Arabidopsis thaliana: one gene and its partner. The protein of the gene in region 1 interacts with the protein of each later gene in a biochemical or structural test. Each region holds a gene or a part of one and is shown on either strand. Other genes may lie near its edges. The genes, in order: FP6 and ACBP2.

Region 1 (4,448 bases):
TCCTGGTTTGCTATGTACAAGAACAATACATCTAAGAAGTTGAATGAAGATTTTATGTAGCAACAAAGAGTACCTGTACATTTGCAGCCAGTGACTAGCGATATCTAAAGCCAGCAATGACAGGAAAACCAAGCTAGGCCTGTTTGTAATTGTGAAAGTCCAAGACTACATGTTAAACAAAGATTACGTAGAAAACCAGATAAGTCCATGAAACGGAGATGTCAGTGTAAAGAAGTAGAGAACACTGACACCTGTATATCTGGGAGAGAATCACGAGAAGACAGGCTGTGCTGACTCTGTAACCATGCGCAGACCCCAAAATATATGACAAAAATGTTAAATGAGATTAAAAGAATGAGCAAGTTGAAACTCGGGAATATGTAGCGGAAGATTCACCTATCTGTAACCATATCCAAAACAGCTCCAAATGTAGAGACTGAAAGGAAAAGAGTTGTGTGTTACGTTCAATCGTTTCTGATAATGTAGAACAAGAATAAACTGTGTATGGGACTAAAAATATTGATCAATGAGACAATGACATGAAATGTCATATTTAATCAATGTCAGGATCATAGAGGAAGCATAAGTAATGAGTTAGTTGAAGCTAAGAAAAGAGATGGGGAGAATGAAAAGAGCACCTTGGTTAAATTTACGAGCGCACCATCCATCCACAGCATCACAACAAAAACTGGAAACAAGATTGGGTAAAGAGTGACTAACATATGAAAGAAGAAGCACCAAACACACAAGATCAAAAAAGGAGAAGAACATGATGTTGGTACCACAAGGATAAAGTCACCTGAAAAAGTACAAGAGGGAGAAGAGTGTCTTGTTGGAGAAGCACACAGAGAAGGCAATGCAGTTCAAGAGAACTCTCATGTACCCTGCCAATTTTGCATGTAACAACACTAATCTCATATGGTTTAAAAAAAATGAAATTTTTAAAGACAGAAGAAAGGAAGTAGCAAAAAACCGACCAACGATATTGGGAATGTAGAGGTAGACTGACAACGTCGCCGGTCTCTGTTTAGCCATAACAGAGAGAGAGAGACTTCAGTTTGGGCAATCTGTTCCCCAACGAAGAAAACAAGGATCTCGCCAATGAAGGGATACCTACACGAGATTAGAAAGAAAAAAGGAACAAACTTTGTGGGAAAATGCGTACGGACAGAGGAACCCCAAATCCGGTAAATACGTGAACACACACACACAAACAAAGTAGGTCAATCGATTTTCAGACGCAACTGGAAATATCAAATCTCAAAGTAAGTATGGGGAAATTAAATATTTCTCACCTGCCTAAGAGAAATTGGGAACGAAGGGATCCGCAGGATGAGCCTGCAGACTTTGTTGGAAGCTCTCACAAGAATCAGATTCGCCTCTCTCTCAAGCAAAAACGTTTTTTCGTTTAATATTCTCAAATTCAATTTGTGAAATACAGTACTAACATTTGTTAAATTATTTGTAAAACTTTTCTCGGTTTCGCCGCTTCAACACTGAAAATTTGCATATTTTATTTGCAAACAATACATACACGCATATATCGTTAATTTTCTTCTTCTTCCACGCACACTTTATTTACTGCTGAATTCGGATTGTGTCATTAGTCATTACTCACTCATTACTAATTTCCACAAACCTTTGTATCTTCATCGCTTAAGACTATAATTGATGATGGGATTTTCGGATATATGAACTTGAATCCCATGGGGGTCCAGATATCCAGATGGTTCTACTTGCAAGTCTTGCAAATCTAAATGGAATTAAAACTCGGTTGATTTTTGTCAAAAAATCGCCAAAAATATAAAATGGTAAGTAAGTGGGCCTCAGAAAAATCCATTAGAAAGCCTAGACCAAATTTTGGAGTGGGCTTCATAAAATAAACAAATCTGGTCATCAAGGTCGGTACGTCGGTGTGACTTTGCGAGTCATCATCGATTATCCAAAAACAATAACTCCTCTCTTTACTTTCTTCCCATGCACCAAGAATATATTTTTTTTATTATTATTTATTAAACAAAAAAAAAAGTAAAGCAGCAGAAAATCTAACGCACGACTCTTGTCCCAAGATCAGTCTCAGTCATCATCAAAACAGAAAATTTTATTATCCATTGTAATTTTATTTTTTTCTTACAAATTACAACTCTTTTTTTTTTCATTCATGGAATTGGAATGAAGAAATGTTTTAAGCCAATCCAAAAAAGAAACCGAAAAAAAAAAACTAGAAATTAGGAAACCGTTAGCAAGAAGAGAAGAATCGAGACGGCGACTAGGAAACTGCTGGGACCAGAAAAGAAAGGTGACCCATCCATCATTCACTTAATTAGATACATACTGTATTACTTATTACAATAATGCCTATATATATTCTCCCAATTCATCATTTACTTCTTTACACCTCCACTTTCCCTTTTGCCCCTCTTTTTTACAGATTTCACTCTCTGCTCTACTACTCTCTCCTCCTCCTCCTCCTAAAGAAAGTTCTTAACTCTCCTGGGTTCTTCAGGTTTTTCCTTTTCTGGAATAAAAAGAAGAAGAAATGGGTGTTCTTGATCATGTCTCTGAAATGTTTGACTGCTCTCATGGTCACAAGATTAAAAAGCGCAAACAGTTGCAGGTACTTTCCCTCTTCCTTTTCTTATCTTAGCAGATTCAGCTGATAACTTAGATCTTGGTTTGCAAAAAAACAAACATAATAATTCGTTGAAAAGTTATGATGAATGAGTCTAGTAGAAACTAGCTTCGATGGTTACTAGGAAAGTTTGAGTGTTACTTAGTAGATCTCGTATATTATAGTTCCATAAATAGACTGCCATTAGCAAGTTTATTATTGTGGTTTTGGCTGGCTAATTTGTGTTACCTTTCTTACTTCAGATCTTTTTTAATATCTCTGTGTTTTTTTATCTGAAGAAGTATATCCAAATTGTTACATGATATAAGTGGGATTTTATTTGAAGCAGTTTTTGTTTTGAGTTAATGTTCCTTCCTAACGCCGACCGAATAGATTCTTTTAATCTGAAATATAAGTTGATACAGCCATCTGTTAGATTTTACACCGGGATTTGTATTCTTCTCGCTGTCAGGAATACTATATAAAATCATTAATTTCCGGGGAAACCAACCACGTTAATTTTTCTCACTAGTCATGATGATATGGTTAAAGTCTTTCAATTGTGGACATTTACTATTCTTCTTAGATATTTTTAAAGTAGGCTAATTTTGTCGTTTTGTGTCGACTGCTTGATGAGGATAGACGGTGGAGATTAAAGTGAAAATGGACTGCGAAGGTTGCGAGCGGAAAGTGCGGCGTTCTGTCGAAGGCATGAAGGGTGTGTCTTCTGTGACGTTGGAGCCCAAAGCCCATAAAGTCACTGTAGTCGGCTACGTCGATCCCAACAAGGTGGTGGCTCGAATGTCTCACAGGACCGGCAAGAAAGTCGAGCTCTGGCCATATGTGCCCTACGACGTGGTCGCTCATCCTTACGCTGCCGGTGTCTACGACAAGAAGGCACCCTCCGGTTATGTCCGAAGAGTCGACGACCCCGGAGTGTCGCAGCTGGCTCGTGCTAGCTCCACCGAGGTCCGCTACACCACTGCATTTAGCGACGAGAACCCGGCGGCTTGTGTGGTCATGTGATGTCATATGGACTACTACTGTTTCAATTTGTTATGGCTTAATTTAATGTCTTGTTTTGTACATTAATACCATAACGGTAGGTTTCTTGTTTTGGTTTTAGTTCCTTGGTCTGTATTCCTTACACTTTATGATTGCAATATGTGTTTTTCCCTTTCTTCCAAAGACTTTTAATGTTAATAAATATTTCTACCCAAAATTAAATTATTTTCATTTATGGTTTGTAATTGTGAAGAAAGCTTCAAATGCGGATCAAGTTGTAGTTAAGAAAACCATTAAATTAAAATAGAGAGAGTAGTTGAAACAAGGGTTCCGAGCTTCCCTCTTTAACCTAGGACATCCTTAAAACAAGGGAACAATATAATACAAGTTGTAACATTTATGTATCAAAGTGTTTATCGATGAGCAAATCAAGTAGAATTAGGATGAAGTCGAGAACACGATACTTGATAGCGATTCTACTTGTAATTTCGCTCTGTTCCAAGGCAAGCAGCCATGATGATGAGAAAAAGAAGAAAGGAGTAACATACGACGGTTCTGAGCGGAACTTCATTGATCATAAATGGAAAAAGAGAGCTTCTTTTCTCTGGTTCTGTTCATTACCCTCGAAGCACACCTCACGTAAGCACGTCTACTCTGTTTTTATTATTACCCAATCAAAAAGATGATTTCACTTCATGGATCGGATTCTGGTTTTGTTGCAGATGTGGCCCAGTATCATTGACAAAGCTAGAATTGGGGGACTTAACACCATCCAAACTTATGTTTTCTGGAATGTCCATGAGCCTGAACAAGGCAAGGTATCATCGACTTC
Region 2 (5,134 bases), 4.2 Mb from region 1:
GTCTTGGTATAGAGAAACGATACAACCATAGCTTGTTGAAAGTTTCAACCCCAAATACGCTTCCATGACTGCACTATGTCATTACTCATTTCAGAAGAATTCTGTGCCTGGCTGTTTATGAAAACTGAAACAGTTTATATTTATTGTCTTTGATTATTACTTTTTCATGCAAGATAATGGGTTGTGGGATTCACTTTTGTAGATGCATAGTGTCGGTTTTGTTGACCCGGATGACATGAATGTTGTTTCTGGTAGACGTAAGTACTCAAGCCTTATAGGATACTCAAGCAGCAAGCTTGCCCAGGTGAGCTTACAGTAATGACATCTGCCGTAGTTTTCATCTGCCGTAGTTTCCATTTTCTGAAAGAGGCTTATTTTCAGAAACTGGTGAGTTAAGTCTCGCTCTCTGATCTTCCATCTTCCAGATTATGTTTAGTAGCATTCTTTTCAAAAAGCTTCCTCTGGAAACAGGAGTCAGCGTCGTATGTCTATCCCCTGGTGTTGTCCTAACAAATGTTGTGAGTATTAGCTTCACTTCATTTCGTTACAAGTGCAGGATTCCTCTGTTTTCTCAGAAATTCATTGCGTTGAACTGCCTATTTCTTTCCGAAATTTACAGGCCAGGGATCTATCCAGGATTCTTCAAGCTCTTTACGCAGTGATACCTTATTTCATATTTTCACCCCAAGAAGGTTGTAGAAGTTCTCTATTCTCGGCCACAGATCCTCAGATTCCAGAGTACTGGGAAACACTAAAAAACGATGATTGGCCTGTTTGCCCATTCATCTCTCAAGATTGCCGCCCTGCAAATCCTTCCGAAGAAGCACACAACACAGAAACTGCACAGAGAGTGTGGAAAAAGACGTTAGAGCTGGTGGGTCTTCCTCTCGATGCAGTTGAGAAGCTCATAGAAGGGGAAAATATCCAATGCCGGTATGGAGCACAACACGAATAGTCTTTCAAAATTACCACAGGTTAAGTGACCCATTACAGATCAAAGGGTAGGTAATTGAGAAAATATCTTTTTTTTTTGTTTCCTTGTATTAATCTACACGATACAGTGGGGAATGAATCCCCCAGGCATGTAGTTTGCTTGAGAATGTTTGATTGTTGGATAAAAGTCAAGCTTTAGCTACCATTCCATTGCTTTTACTTACAAGTCTTGTTCAAGTATTTGGTTAGTGTGTCTTGGAGTTATTAAGATGTTCAGTAGTAGAGTATGGTAGCCTGGGTTGGTGGGTAGTTTCTTGTTTGAGTTTAGGGTATTTTCGTAATTTTCTTTATTGTTTGTGGAGTCACGTTGCTCATATATAGTTATAGGGATATATATCAATTAGAGTCATCATCTCTCTTACTCTCATGGTGACAAAGTCACAAAAGTGATAAACTCTCCTTTCCACTTTCTAATGTTTCTTGCTTAAATGAGTATTCCATGTAAAAATGATTCACTCACTCGTATGGGTGGGTTGGGTTTTCTCTTCATGAGATGCTCATTTGAGCAAGCAATGTTTGGAAGTGGGACTATTTAATATCATGTATGAGTTTTATCTTTTGTTATAAGAAAAAAAGTTGGGATTTCATTTTCGTGCCCACTTCACGTGAATCTAATGCCTTCAAGTTTGTGGTCTACCTTATTTTCTCTTATGGATACATGTCAATTTACGTGTCGTATGAGTCAAGCCTTTAATCATCCCAACACCATGCACGTCTTCTAGATTTGTTTTCGACCACGATTCCACCACAAAATTTGACATTGTTATTGAATTCATTAACTTTTTTACGTGTTATTGTGAAATATTTATTTAATTTTGTTGGTAAAAGGAGCAAAAAAGATTAGGGTACAACACGTCGACTTCTTCCCCAATTAGACCCATATGTGATCTGTCGTCACTCGTCGCCAAGTTTTTTTATGTGTCGTCTTTTAAACTTTGATCCAATTCATTAAAAAGTCTTAACGCCCACAACGAAAAGGAACTTCTCTTTTTGTTTGGTGACTGAATCGGTGGAAAACAACACAAGTTTGTTCCTTTTTGTCTCTCCAGATCCCTTGGCTTCCTTCTTCTTCTTCATCCTCCTCGTGAGACTCTGTGTTGAAATTTCTCTAGGGTTTTAATTATCGGCGTTGGTTTTTCGTTTTTGAGAATTTGATTTCGTTTTTAGAAATAATGGGTGATTGGGCTCAACTTGCTCAGTCTGTGATCCTAGGTTTGATTTTCTCTTACCTTCTCGCTAAGCTGATCTCGATCGTCGTCACGTTTAAAGAAGACAATCTCTCTCTTACTCGTCACCCAGAGGAGTCTCAATTGGAAATTAAACCGGAAGGAGTTGACTCGCGACGTCTCGATTCCTCTTGCGGTGGTTTCGGTGGTGAGGCGGATTCGCTTGTGGCGGAGCAGGGTAGCTCCCGAAGTGATAGCGTTGCCGGTGACGACAGTGAGGAAGATGATGATTGGGAAGGCGTCGAGAGCACGGAACTCGATGAGGCTTTTAGCGCCGCCACTCTTTTTGTGACTACCGCCGCCGCAGATCGGCTTTCGCAGAAGGTACCGAGTGATGTGCAGCAGCAGCTTTACGGATTGTATAAGATTGCTACGGAAGGGCCGTGTACTGCTCCTCAGCCATCAGCTCTCAAAATGACTGCTCGTGCCAAGTGGTATCTCTCTCTTTCGTTGAATCTGCTGTGCCATTAACTTCTATGTATCATTTTCTGGTGTTTTTGTTCAACTGTTTGAGATTTGATTTGAGGTGGAAATTTTTGAGGTTTTAGGTTCTTCATAGACAATCACCTAGTTTGCTTCTTAGCTTATGCAACTGCTGGACGATGATGTGGTTTTTACTGTTGTAACAGTTGATTGTATATGGAATTGTGGTTTGTTGTAAGATTGCAATTTCATTGATTGGGATGTGCCATGATCTTGTTCTATCTCAGGCAAGCATGGCAGAAACTGGGAGCTATGCCACCTGAAGAGGCGATGGAGAAGTATATTGAGATTGTCACTCAGCTTTACCCAACTTGGTTAGACGGTGGCGTGGTATAAAGCTTTTTCCCCTTTTCTTTGTTTGATTGCTTCGGTTTCTTCCTCTGGCCTGTTCATGTGAGCTTCACTAACAGAAAGCCGGAAGTCGGGGTGGGGATGATGCAGCCTCCAACTCAAGAGGAACCATGGGACCAGTTTTTAGCTCTTTGGTTTATGATGAGGAGTCCGAAAATGAGTTGTAAGGTTCTCTTCTTGTATTCTCATGTGTTTTATATCCTGATCCTTGCGTTCATGTCTAGATTAGATATAAGTATCCTGATTTGTGAAAGAGGCTCATAAACTCGGTGAATATGTAACATTACTGTCTCGTTCTAGCTGTAGCAAATTTTGATGGTGAAATGGCTACAATTGTCTCATGGAACTTTGAGCTGTTCGTTTCTTCCTGTCTATCTGAATGAAACACTAATCCTCTGCTCATTGAACTTTTGTTTTATCTCTCAGGAAGATTGATGCCATACACGGATTTGCTAGAGAAGGAGAAGTCGAGAATTTACTGAAAAGCATTGAAAGCGGCATTCCTGTAAATGCAAGGGGTTAGTCTCTGCTTGTATATTCCGTTTCTTGGAAGTTCATTCTCGTGATGTTGGATCTGCATTCTAATTTTCCCATAAACTGCAGACAGTGAAGGTCGCACACCATTGCACTGGGCTATAGACCGTGGCCACCTCAACATCGCCAAAGTTCTGGTCGATAAGAACGCCGATGTGAATGCTAAGGTGACGAAAGAGAAATTCCTACCCAGTCATTATCTGCAAAGTTAGCAACTTCTTTATTTATGTGTTTTTGGTTCTTGTGTTGAACAGGACAACGAAGGCCAAACCCCTTTGCATTATGCTGTTGTATGCGACAGAGAAGCTATCGCCGAGTTTCTGGTTAAACAGAACGCAAACACAGCCGCTAAAGATGAGGATGGAAACTCTCCCCTTGATCTCTGTGAATCAGACTGGCCCTGGATCCGAGATTCTGCAAAGCAGGCAGACTAAACAAATACTAACCACGTCTTCTCTAAATCCGCAATGTATATGATCAAATGACTTAGTAAGAAGCTTTTCTTTACTTTAAACTTTCTTTCCATCCCTACCACATCACTGGGATGTTCCAACACTATATCACTTGGATGTTACCAAGTCTTGTTCTTTGATTTCTTTCTTCTTACATTTTAACAATCTTTTGTTCCTTTAGGCTTTATGATATGTCGTAACCGGTTTTGTTGGTTTGCTATAAATACACACATATAGACAGAGGAAGAGTCATTGGATCCTCAACGAATAAATAACCGACTTTGGCGGCAAAAACGGTTGATAGAACATAATTTAATGATTTAAGGAAAGCCCCCAATAAAGCAAATACAAAAACAGAATTAGCAATCTTCGTGGCCCTTTCGTCTTCTCTCCCTACCCCACCTTGGACTACCGGAAAATGGCCAAGGTGGTGGTTTACACGATACTAACCGCCACCATCATCTTCCTCATCCTCCTCGCTCATAAGAAACAAAACCAGACTCAATCCATTGAGGGTCTCATAACCCGCCGCATCGGACGGAGGCTTGAAATGCCGGTGTTTGACCCTTTGGTGACCCGGATTGAGAGGTTGTCTCATGAGAAAGAAGCTGGTACGAAGACCGTGGAGGCTGCGAAAGAGGAGAAAGATGATATGTTTGAGGAGTATTTTGCACAAGAGAGAAGGCTTAACACGACAATGAGGATCAAGTTCTTGTTTCCTCTGCTTGACGCGTCTCCAAGAGATGGCTTTGTGAGCTTGAAAGAGCTTCAGACATGGATGATGCAACAGACAGAAGACAACATGGTTTACAGAACCGCCAAAGAGCTTGAGCTACAAGATAAGGACAAGGACGGTGTCATAACTTTCGAAGAGTACTTGCCTCAATTCTCTAAACAAGACATTGGTAATATATTAACTTGTCTTTGATCCTTCGAGATTTTTCTTCTTCATTATGCAAATAAGAAAAAACAATGATAATATGGAAACAGAGAAAAACGAGAAGGGTCACGGTGAAGCCGGTTGGTGGATGGAGCAATTCAAGAATTCTGATTTTGATCATAATGGCTCTCTCGACATTGAGGAGTTCAACAAGT

The links.
Region 2: the proteins of FP6 (region 1) and ACBP2 form a complex in vitro, tested with the Arabidopsis thaliana proteins (one study listed by BioGRID).

What each region holds. Positions count from the first base shown.
Region 1 is NC_003075.7:18,032,057-18,036,504, forward strand, and holds FP6 (farnesylated protein 6), read left to right. Parts: upstream 1-2,074; 5' UTR 2,075-2,299; intron 2,300-2,306; exon of another isoform or gene 2,307-2,431; 5' UTR 2,432-2,539; coding exon 2,540-2,617; intron 2,618-3,253; coding exon 3,254-3,637; 3' UTR 3,638-3,833; downstream 3,834-4,448. Other genes in the region: PIS2 (Putative CDP-diacylglycerol-inositol 3-phosphatidyltransferase 2), read right to left, coding at 74-139, 252-296, 397-436, 639-688, 800-884, 978-1,035; BGAL14 (beta-galactosidase 14), read left to right, coding at 4,060-4,263, 4,339-4,434. UniProt on the Arabidopsis thaliana protein: Heavy-metal-binding protein. Binds lead, cadmium and copper. May be involved in heavy-metal transport. May be involved in cadmium transport and play a role in cadmium detoxification.
Region 2 is NC_003075.7:13,845,609-13,850,742, forward strand, and holds ACBP2 (acyl-CoA binding protein 2), read left to right. Parts: upstream 1-1,940; 5' UTR 1,941-2,165; coding exon 2,166-2,653; intron 2,654-2,929; coding exon 2,930-3,032; intron 3,033-3,112; coding exon 3,113-3,216; intron 3,217-3,479; coding exon 3,480-3,571; coding exon of another isoform or gene 3,572-3,576; exon of another isoform or gene 3,577-3,656; coding exon 3,657-3,754; intron 3,755-3,841; coding exon 3,842-4,021; 3' UTR 4,022-4,326; downstream 4,327-5,134. Other genes in the region: FEY (NAD(P)-binding Rossmann-fold superfamily protein), read left to right, coding at 203-304, 426-518, 620-955; AT4G27790 (Calcium-binding EF hand family protein), read left to right, coding at 4,458-4,944, 5,030-5,132. UniProt on the Arabidopsis thaliana protein: Binds medium- and long-chain acyl-CoA esters with very high affinity. Can interact in vitro with palmitoyl-CoA, but not with oleoyl-CoA. Binds to lead ions (Pb). May function as an intracellular carrier of acyl-CoA esters.